2 linked regions of the Drosophila melanogaster genome follow. The protein of the gene in region 2 interacts with the protein of the main gene of each other region in a biochemical or structural test. Each region holds a gene or a part of one and is shown on either strand. Other genes may lie near its edges.

Evidence for each region.
Region 1: the proteins of pcm (region 2) and DCP1 form a complex in vitro, tested with the Drosophila melanogaster proteins (one study listed by BioGRID).

What each region holds. Positions count from the first base shown.
Region 1 is NT_033778.4:23,887,976-23,891,794, forward strand, and holds DCP1 (decapping protein 1), read right to left. Parts: upstream 2,302-3,819; 5' UTR 2,218-2,301; coding exon 1,099-2,217; 3' UTR 789-1,098; downstream 1-788. Other genes in the region: CG5597 (uncharacterized protein), read left to right, coding at 1-89, 150-427, 506-770; DNAlig1 (DNA ligase 1), read left to right, coding at 2,621-2,637, 2,695-2,757, 2,813-3,103, 3,164-3,796.
Region 2 is NC_004354.4:19,485,824-19,493,708, reverse strand, and holds the start of pcm (pacman), read left to right. Parts: upstream 1-1,697; 5' UTR 1,698-1,895; coding exon 1,896-1,970; intron 1,971-2,029; coding exon 2,030-3,124; intron 3,125-3,193; coding exon 3,194-3,502; intron 3,503-3,759; coding exon 3,760-4,224; intron 4,225-4,298; coding exon 4,299-4,567; intron 4,568-4,650; coding exon 4,651-4,970; intron 4,971-5,023; coding exon 5,024-5,917; intron 5,918-5,996; coding exon 5,997-6,577; intron 6,578-6,641; coding exon 6,642-7,304; intron 7,305-7,367; coding exon 7,368-7,448; intron 7,449-7,516; coding exon 7,517-7,606; 3' UTR 7,607-7,885. Other genes in the region: CG12204 (uncharacterized protein), read left to right, coding at 1-301; ND-18 (NADH dehydrogenase (ubiquinone) 18 kDa subunit), read right to left, coding at 472-652, 712-1,032, 1,123-1,172.

The sequences.
Region 1 (3,819 bases), on a different chromosome or scaffold from region 2:
AGGAGAGCCCGAAGTTCATCACCGTCAAATGGTACAGAGACGACAAGTCCATATACCAGTGGATCTTCGGAACACCTCCATATGCCATCGTGAGTGAACCAAACGGTGTGGTGCGCTTAAGATACTAACCGCTTTCCCCTCCTTGATAGCCCGAGTTCAGGAACGAGATTGACAGCACCTATGAGAGCTCCACGGAGCCGAGCAAGCAGTACAGCTCGCTGGCTTTGATCAACCCCACGATCGCCACCACCGGCGACTACAAGTGCGTGGTGCAGACCTCGCTGAACACCTTCTCCAGCCACCAGAGGGTTCAGGTCATAGACCTGAGGAACTACACCCTGGAGCTGTCCCACAAGACGATCCACAATGAGACGCAGCTGAACTGCACCGTGACGAACGTGTATCCCAGGCCCACCATCACGATAATGTAAGGACGAGCGCCTGCCTTGTCGTAAGACAGCCTTGTAGTAAACAACGTCCCAACTCAACTCCGCTCCTATTACAGATCCAACGACATGGACGTGGTGAAGCGGGAGCCCATGGTGTACGAGAACGAGGAGGGATACTTCGATGGCAGCGCCGTGGTGGCGGCCTACGACACCGACGACGATCCCGATGCCTACCAGTGCGTGGTGTCCTTCGAGGGATACGGCAAGAACCTGACCACGGTGGCCACGTCCGCGGCGGCGGGCAGGAGCCACGTCGACTTCAGCCTGTGGCTGTTTTGTTTTCTGTACTACCTGCTCTGCAAGCTGAAGGTATTGGCCTAAATAAAAGCGTTGTTATTTATTGTTACTAAATTAATGTTTATTGAATTCTGTTTGCCATTCAACTACCTTTTCTACGCCCCTTCGGCCTAGTTAACCATTTTGTAAATAAATACGAATACTTCACAAAACCAACTACGTTAGTTAACTCTTAAGGTTGCTCTGGAAATGGATGCCGTCCTTCTCCGGCGGGGCTTCTAGATTTTAAATCTACGACTGCCCTTGTCGGCTTACAGCTATTACATTTTGTAAATTAACTCGGCTTGAACTCGAACTCCATGCGAACAAATGAAAATATGGGCTGCAATTCGGAAATGTTGAATATTTCTGTTTATTGATATGTGGAGCTGGAGTCCAGCAGTAGATTGGAACAGCCGTTCAGGTAGGCCTTGTGCAGCTTGTTGGCAAACTCCTTATCGTTCTGGATAAGGTACGTGAAGGCCTGGACGAACTGCGTCGAGTTCAGCAGTGGCTGCTGTGGCTGCTGTGGCTGCTGTGGCTCCGGATTGCCGTTGTTGGGCGCGTCGAACATGGTGGGCGGCATGAGGGCCGGCCCGGGCTTGTCGCCAGCCAGCAGTCTCCGCAAGCACTTGCCGGCATCGTCGTTGGCCATCAGCGCCGACGAGGACGGGGCGACTGTCGGAGATTGAGCCGTAGCGTAGCTTTTACCGATCTTCAGGTCGCTCAGGAGCTGAATGTTAAGCTGCTGCATCTTCTGGAAGGGCGACAGCCGGCTCTCGTGATTGTCCCTGCCTGCCGGGGGCAACAGATCCTCGCCAGGCGTGGCTGCCCGCTGCTGTTTCTCCAGCTGGTCCACGGAGAGCGGCTGGACGCGGTGGAACAGTGACTCTGCCGTGGCCTGCTTGGCCGATTCGAAGAACTTCAACACATTGCCGGCCGTTACGTTCTCCGCCGAAGGCGTCTTCGGCTGCCCGCCGCTCACCTGGGCATTGTAGTCCTTCTGGGCCTTGGTCAGCATGTTGAATATGCTGGCCGGCTGGCTGCTGTCCTGCTTTGGCTGCTGGGGCGCGGAGACGTGACGCTGGGCCTGGCCATTCGTTCCCTGATCCTTGGACTTGAGCAGCCCGTTCACCAAGCCGCTGATGCGGTCGCACTCCTCGCTGTTGTAGAACCAGAAGCCGCGGATGCGCGAGCGCTCGTTGCGGTAGAGCAGGAACGGCGGCTGCGACTGCAGCTCCAGGCTGCCGGTGATGGGCTCCACGAAGGACGTGGTGTTCAGTCGGTTGTTGATGAAGATGCTGTGAAAGGGCTCCGCGTTGCGGTGGTATATGAAGAAGGCTCCCTCCACATCGGTCTTTTCCCACTCGTTCTGCGACGAGTTGAACGTGTAGAAGGCGACGTGCGAGGACGAATCCACGATCTCCTTGGCGTACGGGTCGATCTTCTTGATGGCCGCCAGGTTCATTCGCGTGATGCTCTCGTCGGCCATTGTAAATTGTATGTAATCTTCAGTTTTGGCTGTGCTATTGCGAATTGCAATTATTTGTGAATTTAACGGCGCTCTGGTCACACTGCCCCGTGGATGTTTTCCCGTGTTTATCAACGACTGTGCTGCGGTCACACCGAATGACAATAAACTCTTCCTTTTGTCTATTAATGATTTGTTTGAGAAATATTAAGTCGATTGACTTGCATATAAAAATGGCCACAATTGTACGTAATAATATTTCTCAATTATGTAGCATAAACATTTAATTTATGTTTACTAATAAAATTTTCAACTTCGATAGCATTTCCATTTCAATATATCGATACTGAAGACCAGCTCTAGAAACTGGCGGGAACTAATTGCATTGCAATTTGTATTTATTTGAACACAGAATTGCCACAAAATGCAAAAGTCTATAACGTAATTTACGATTTAACAAATGCTAAGTATTGCCAATCTAACAATCCCCCGTTTCAGCTCCTTCTTCAAGAAGAAATCCGATGCCACCGACAGCCCCTCGCCGCCCAAGAAAGTTCCTAAGTAAATGGTGCCGCTGTTTTCTTGTTTCATTACTAAATTCCTCGACAAATCATAGGATTGATGCGAAGACCGAACTCCCAGATGAACCCCACATCAAGAGCGAAAGTGCCTCCCCGGAAACTAAGCCCAAGGTAGAACCTATGTCTGTGGATTCCGAGGAGAAGACAAGTCCGGTGAAAAATGTTAAGAAGGAACCAAAGGAAGTCGATGACAAGACCACTGACAAGAAGGTCACAACCATAGGTCTCAACTCCACTGCCGCTACTAAGGAGGATGTGGAAAACTACGATCCATCCGCCGACTCCTATCATCCGCTCAAGAATGCCTACTGGAAGGACAAAAAGGTGTAAGTAGTGCAGGATTTTGAGCCTCCAAGGCGAATTATATCAAAGGAAACACTTTCCAGCACTCCCTACTTGGCACTGGCCCGCACATTTCAAGTAATCGAGGAGACCAAAGGCCGGCTCAAGATGATCGACACGCTGAGCAACTTCTTCTGCTCTGTGATGCTGGTCAGTCCGGAGGATCTTGTGCCCAGCGTCTACCTCAGCATCAACCAACTGGCGCCCGCCTACGAGGGACTGGAGCTGGGCGTTGCCGAGACCACCTTGATGAAGGCCATTTGCAAGGCAACGGGGCGTAATTTGGCTCACATTAAATCGCAGACGCAGCTAACCGGGGATCTGGGCATCGTGGCCGAGCAGTCGCGCGTTTCACAGCGCATGATGTTCCAGCCAGCGCCTCTGAATGTGAGGGATGTGTTCCGGAAGCTACGCGAAATAGCCAAGCTATCCGGTCAGTCGAAAATGGACCTGGTGTACAATATGTTTGTGGCCTGTCGATCGTCGGAGGCTCGCTTCTTTATCCGTTCATTGATTGGCAAGCTAAGAATTGGCATTGCAGAGCAGAGTTTGCTCACAGCGCTGGCCATTGGTTTGGTGAAAAAGAACCACATCGATGATTGCAAGGCTAGCAAGGTGCCGGATGTGTATAAGGATGAAATAGTCGACACCACTTTGCTGTTGAAAACTGCATACTGGTAAGAACTAACTTAAGAACCAG
Region 2 (7,885 bases):
GCGGTTTCAGGAGCACCAATGGCGGCACAACGAGCAAACGCAGCACAGGCAGCGGTACCAGGAGGACAGAGGGCGGCATAACGACCAAATGGATCGTTTTAAGGAGCACAAGGACCGAGGACAGCGACAAGAGCATCGGGACTGGCGCAACGAGCGCAGAGATTGGTACCAGCATCATGATGACAGCCGGAAGAGAAGCCGCAGTCCGAGCAGGCATCGACATGGCGATAGGCGTCGGGAGGAGCGAGAGCCACGCGAGAAGCAGCACAATAGGCATCGCTCCCAAACCGCTCGTCATTAGAGCGGCATGTGATGGTGCCGCTTCCATTGGCAGCGAAACTGGTGGCCATTACATGGTGCTGTGGTCATTTGAGTCCAGCCGACTGTTTATTTGGGTACTCAGATAATGAACAAAGCAAAAAAAAAATCAGATAATTGTGGTCTATAATCCTGGCTAGCTGCGGGGAGCGTCTACTTGGTGGAGACGCGCGTGCGCTTGTTCCAGGCAAAGTTGATGCCGTAGTTCTTGACGCGCTCCTTCTTGGGCTTCGCGGCGCCGTCGACGTACCAGCGCCATCCGTTCCGTTCGCAGAACGTGATGGCCTCCTCTGGGGATCCGAACTGCACGTTCATGTTGGACAATGGGTCGCCGCTGGAACACGAGACGTTGACCAAGGTTGCCATGGCATGGTGGACGTGCCAGCTACTCACCTGGAGGCCCAGCCCATGAGCGGATTCTCCCAGCGCTCGCGGTTGTCGAACTCGATTTGCCAGGTGTTCACGTTATCGGTGCCGCTCTGCATTGCGTTCTTGGGCGGAATATGGATGCGCACACGGCGCTCCCGAATGTGCTCCTCCGGAACGCCGCTGATCGGGCTGAGATTGACGGCAGTCGGCACGGTGATCTTGCCACTCAGCTTGTTGCGCTGCTCCAGCTCTTCGGGGCGGGCCAGGGCCGTCTTGGGGTCCAGCGGACCGCCGTCCGTGGCGGTGGATGCCCAGCGGGCAGCGGCTGCCCTGTTGGCCTGGTACCTGCGGTGTCAAGATGCGAAAGTGGATAATTAGAGGGCTGCAGATTTGCCAGGTCGGATGCACTTGCTCCGGCCAGGCGGGGGTACCTACAGCTGCAGGGAGGCGGTGCTTCTGCACATCACTTGGCGGAGGGCCGACATTTCGCTAGGCGTTTGGGGCTACACGGCAGAAATCGGCTTCAAAATACGAATTACGTAAAATTTGGAACACAAGCGCTTTTCGATTGGGAAAACAGCTGTTCGCCAGTGCCAGTGTGACCAGGCGAGCGGTGAGTGTTTTTATTCTAATTGGAAACAGTGTGGCCCCTCGCCTTGGATGCGATGCCACAATAGTTCAAAAACAGTTTTCTTCTTTTTCACTTCGAACTTCGCAAAAACTATGAAATGCTGTTCAAGTGGTAAAATGAACTTTAAAATGAAAATGAATGAAATGAAATACACTGATGATGAACTAGAGAAGTAACTAGAACTAAAACTATGCTATTTGTAAGCCAACTGTTTAAATGATGAGCATTGCATTTGCCCAGTGCTGCCAGATATGTAGGTGTTCTTAGCTCCTTTTAGCTTAATTTCACCATTAGCTGATTATTGGCAAAGGAGCCCGTTTCGCTTATCGATTCTAATATCGATTTGAATCGGTCAGGGTCCTTATTCTTTCAGTTATTCATCGAACTGCGGAATGCCGCCGGCCCTACCACATGGCAATAGCGAAACGTTGTGGCAACGCCTCGCCTACTTGCAACTTTTGTGTCAATCAATACATGTTGAAAACAGATAAAGACACAAATTTTTCAGTTCATCTAAATTGCCACTGATCCAGGCAGAACAGCACGGCGGCAGAACAGTCCCATCCAGAACAGCGACATGGGCGTTCCCAAGTTCTTTCGCTACATCAGCGAGCGATATCCGTGCCTCAGCGAATTGGCGCGGGAGCACTGCGTAAGTAAAGCTGCTAGGTCACGTTATATGTTGCCATGCACCGTACGGTTCCTTTGCAGATACCCGAGTTCGACAATCTGTACTTGGACATGAACGGCATTGTCCACAACTGCTCGCATCCGGACGACAACAACATACACTTTCACCTGGAGGAGGAGCAGATATTCCAGGAAATCTTCAACTACGTAGACAAGCTGTTCTACCTGATCAAGCCGCAGCGCCTCTTCTTCCTTTCAGTTGACGGGGTGGCTCCACGGGCCAAGATGAACCAGCAGCGCAGCCGGCGATTCCGGACGGCGCGCGAGGCGGAGCAGCAGGAGGCCAAGGCGGCCCAGCGAGGCGAGTTGCGAGAGCACGAGCGCTTCGACAGCAACTGCATTACGCCGGGCACCGAATTCATGGTGCGTCTGCAGGAGGGACTGCGCGCCTTTCTCAAAACGAAGATTTCGACGGATCCGCTGTGGCAGCGTTGCACCGTAATCCTAAGTGGCCAGGAGGCGCCCGGCGAGGGCGAGCACAAGATCATGGACTACATTCGGTACATGAAGACGCAGCCGGACTATGATCCCAATACACGACACTGCCTTTACGGCCTGGACGCCGATCTGATCATTCTGGGCCTCTGCACCCACGAGCTGCACTTCGTGGTGCTGCGCGAGGAGGTCAAGTTCGGGCGCAACGTCAAGCGCACCTCGGTGGAGGAGACGCGCTTCTTCCTGCTGCACCTGGGTCTGCTGCGCGAGTACCTCGAGCTGGAGTTCGACGCCCTGAGAACAGACGAGCACAAATTGGACATTGCGCAGCTTATCGACGACTGGGTGCTGATGGGCTTTTTGGTCGGCAACGACTTCATTCCCCACCTGCCGTGCCTGCACATTTCATCAAATGCACTGCCGCTGCTCTACCGCACCTACATCGGCATTTACCCGACCCTCGGCGGCAACATCAACGAGAACGGCAAGCTCAACCTGCGCCGCTTGCAGATTTTCATATCGGCCCTCACCGAGGTGGAGCTGGATCACTTCAAGGAGCACGCCGACGACTTGAAGTACATGAACAACAAATCAGAGGCGTTCGACATGGACGTCGGCGAGATCACCGAGTCTCAAAACCTCGACTCCGATCTCGGAGCCCTCATCAACAAGAGCATGCTGGTATGAACTCTCTGCACTGACCGCCATCCCGTCATTTCCGTCCGCTCAATGCCGCCTTCCCATCCACAGCTCTACGATGACGACAGCGAGGAGGACTGCTCCGACGAGAACGCGGTTCTTCTGAAGGAGTTCCAGAACTACAAGCGAAACTTCTACCGCAACAAGTTCAAGCGTGATCCGAATGATGAACTGATCGAGGAACTGTGCCACCACTACGTCAATGCGCTGCAGTGGGTGCTCGACTACTACTACCGTGGCGTGCAGTCCTGGGACTGGTACTATCCCTTCCACTACACTCCATTCATCAGCGACCTCAAGAACATCGAGCAGGTGGAGATCGCCTTCCACATGGGCACGCCCTTTCTGCCATTCCAGCAGGTGAGCTGAGCACATTTAGTTAGCACCGATAACTTTCCTAGCATCAGGCTTACCATTTCTTAAACATAAACCAGAGCCACCAATTTAGACTATCATTTGCGTATCTCCTTTCTAACATATATCTATCTCCCTCTAATCCAATGGTGGTGCTAGATCATTTGGTTAAAGCAATCTTCTCAACCAAATTATCCATGTATCCATATATCTGCACACATACTAGATTTACTTAAGCCATCTGTCCAATCTTTCATATAAAGCTTCTGGCGGTACTGCCGGCGGCCAGTGCAAAGCTTCTCCCTGTCGCCTACCACGACCTCATGCTGCTGCCGACCAGCCCGCTGGCCGAGTTCTATCCACTGGAGTTCGAGAGCGACCTCAATGGCAAGAAACACGATTGGGAGGCGGTTGTGCTGATACCCTTCATCGATGAGGGTCGGCTGCTGGCCGCTATGCTGCCATGCGAGGCTCAGCTGTCGCTGGAGGAGCGCGAACGCAACCGACACGGTCCCATGTATGTGTACAAATACAGTACGGTGGCGCAGGGTCCCATGCCAGCGTATCCACCGCTGAGGGCTCTTCCCGTGCTCTACTGCACGGAGGTGGCCAAGTGGTCGCACGAAATCGCAGTCAATCTGCCGTACAGCGTGTGCATCGAGCTACCAAATGCGGCGAGAACCGTTTTCTTCCCGGGATTTCCCACCATGCAGCATCTGCCCTTCGATGTGAGTGACGCCGGGACACATGCATAACGCTCGCCATGTCCGCCATGTCTAATATGCTTGCTATTCTTTTCCAGTTCGAGCTGCGCAACGACCGCGTCAAGGTGTTCGAACAGGTCAGTCGCAACCAGAACATTGTGCTAAAACCACGCAAGCGCCAGCTGGAGGACACACTGACGGCGGTGGCCTCCCAGTACCTCGGGAAGGTGATCCACGTCGGCTGGCCGCATCTCGTCAAGGCGATAGTGGTGCGCGTGGCCACGCGAGATCAGCGCGTCGACAGCGAGGGAATCACGCTAAACGATTCGCGGCGTTTCGACTCGGAATGCAAGGCACTGCAGGAACAGTTGAGTGTGAAGCCGCCGTCTGGCCCTGCATTCACACTGCTAATGCTCCATCTTCCCTTTCCTCCTTCTCCTCCCACGACAGCTTTATCAATCGTATGGGAATACAGTTTGCCAACTATGATGTGCTCGTCTATGTGCGCACCTTTGCCGGCAATTCGACGGAGTTCCGCGACAAGGGGGCATTGATGGTGCGCGACTCGTGGAGCAGCTCCGTCACCGGCTATCCAGCCCAGGGCGTGGTGGCCGATCTGACTGTGTGGGAAAGAATGCGCAAGAATTTCCTCAACGTGGAGCACTACTTCCCCGTTGGCAGCACGATCTTCTTGATCACGGATCCGTATTACGGCAGCGAGGGAACTGTGCAGGACCCACGGCTGGCCTACACCAACGGCCGGATTCAAGGTAAGTTCGTCTCGCCATGTCCTTGACACCCCATCATCATTTCATCTCTGCAGTCAGCATCATGGTGCGACCGGAACCGAAAGTAAATGCGGCACGTCAGCTGCAGGAAGAGCGGGACCGGGACTATCTGAGCACCTTCCAGGTCTGCAACTTGCTCCGAATCAGTGGCCGCACCCTGGGACGCCTAAGTGGCACCGTGTGGGTGGTGCTCGGTCCGCGGCGTCAGAAGATGGAAAACGTGACCAAGCACAACATTGGCCTGCAGCTCAAGTATCCGCGGCAGAACGAGGAGCGTGCCGGATACTGCTTCCGCACGAACAACCAGTGGTACTACTCCAGCCTGGCCGTGGATCTGATGCGCAACTATTGCCAGCGTTACCCAGACGTTATCGACTTCTTTGGCGACTCCAACGATCGCGCCGAGTTCGTATTCGAACAGGACGTGTTCCCCAATGCGGTTGGCCATCGCCGCGTCGAGGAACTGGCCAACTGGGTGCGCCAGCAGCCGCACATGAAAGTGGAGCGCATCTCTTGCGGCTCCAAGACGGTCTGCCGCGAGACCATCGAACTGCTGATAGCCGCCGTCGACGACCTGCGCTCACTGCCCGTCAAGCACGTTAAACTGCAGGTGAAGCCGCACTTGCTCATCAAGCCCAATGTCACACTGCCAGATGTCTACCGATCAAAGCGCCCGGTGCGTCTCTTCGATCGCGTCGTAATCGTACGCACCATTTACATGGTGCCCGTGGGCACTAAGGGCACCGTGATTGGCATTCATCCCGTTACGGACCCCAACCCGGTCCGCCTGGAGTGCGTCCATGCTGTCGACACGTTCTGCAAGGTGCTGTTCGACAGCCCCGTTCCGAACTGCAACAACATCCATGGCATCGCCGAAGACCGAGTTTACAAGGTGCCCGAAATTGCCCTGGTGATCATCAAGACGGATGGTAAGTGGATTTGGCTGCATAGCCTACAGAATCGGAGGAGGCACATACATAGCAATGCTCCCACTTCCTCTCCTTGCAGAGGAAGGAAAGAAGCAGAACGACTGCGAACTGCCGGTGAGGGATCCTCAGCCGAACCAGGCACAGGACGAGCCAGTCCGCGCGACCAGCAGTCGCTATGTGACCGCCGCAGGGTCCACCTCGGTCCCGATCACGATGAAGACCCAAATTAGCGACGAATTCGTCAAGACGCGTAGCGATCCGATAGCCCGTACGGATTCGTACAAGCCATCGTCGGAGCCAAAACCGGTGCCGGTGCCGGAGCAGATTACCAACTGGCGGGAACGCGTCAGTACGCCAACAAACAAACCGCAGCCTGCGCCAAATAATTGGCGCATAAATCGGTCTTCATCACGTCAACAGGGCGGTAGTATTTTTGTTGCTCCGCCCACAAAAACTCCTGATGCAGCTGCAAGCACTGCTTCCACTGCATTCACCGCAGCCTCGTCCGCAACGCTGACTCCTCTGGATCAGACCTTGGCGCTCATGTCGGTTTTGGGCGTGGGTGAGGACCAGAGCTCGCCGCCACTCCAGGAGGCGGTGCAGCAGCAACGTCCGCCACTACTTCAACAGCAAAGAGCTCCGTTTCCCGGACAAATGCCCGTAACTGCTTTCAGCCCAGATGTGCCACCCAACCATGTGTTCACATAACTACTTTTCATTGCAGAATCTACCCAAGCCACCGCTCTTCTGGCAGCAAGAGGCGCAGAAGCAGGAGGCGCTGCAGCAGGAGGCGCAGCAGCAGGAGGCGCAGAAGAAGCAGCAGCAGGCGCATGCGCAAATGGAGCCTGAACGTATCAATAGCCAGCATTTCTACAGAAGCGGCCAGACAGGAGCGGCGTTGAATCAGCCGCCATTGGGTGCTCCATCAAAAAGGCAGTGGCATGAGTGGGTGCACCCGCGCATGCAGCACGCCAACGCATTCCACGCTGGCGTCAACAATGGATATCAGATGCGTCCCAAAAAGAATATAGCTGCGCAGAGCACCTTTAACAACAACGTGCACATGCACCTCCAGCAACCATATTACCCGAATCAGCAGCAGCAGCAGCAGCAGCAGCAGCCACTCCAGCTGACGGAGATCAACAATGCGCCACCGCGATACTCAACGATCCAAGATTTTGTGCCCATACAGGCGTACCGTCCCAAGAAATTAAATCGCGTCCAACCAGCCGGTCGTCAGGACGTCGATGCCACCAAGAATCCTAGTCGTTCGCCTGTGTTGCAGCAACCGACGAACGAGACTATAGACACAAAGGCCAGTTCTAGTCTTCCGGTACAATCAGCAGGCGAACAGGTGATTGGACTGATGCAAACGCTTGAAATTAAGGTAAGCATTGGCTACAAGTCAAAGCCTTGATTACCGAACTAATGCTTTCCTCTCGGCCGACAGCAGCCGGCTGCGTCGCAGTCCGAATCTGATGGGGTCTCAACAGGCAGTGCGAACGCGCCCACAGCAACGACATCATCCCAGGTAATGGAGGAGATAGAGATAGTTATTCTGCATAATTTACTCATTCCATTTACTCGCTTCTGTTGCAGGCGGTCAACCGAAGGAAGCATCGAGTGCCTCGCATCGGAGCCAAGTTCGACTTGGAATACATACTGCCCGACTCCCCGCATCCAACTTAAGAGCGAACAAATGGGTATTTTTAGGTTCAAATCCCACCTAGCTGAAGAAATGCAACGCTATTTGGATCTTATATCACCTTATTTCTATCTCTCCTAGTCTGTGCGAGGCACTAGAATTGCCGCACACGATAGATCATTTTTTTTTTAGAGTTGCGGATTATGTGAATACTAAAATGAGACTGACTCGTCTTTATATTTTTTCAATAAACTGGACTTTACCCATATTTTGTTGTTACTCGATAGAATGCCAAGCTGCATTGTGTAAATTAGCTTTTAAGA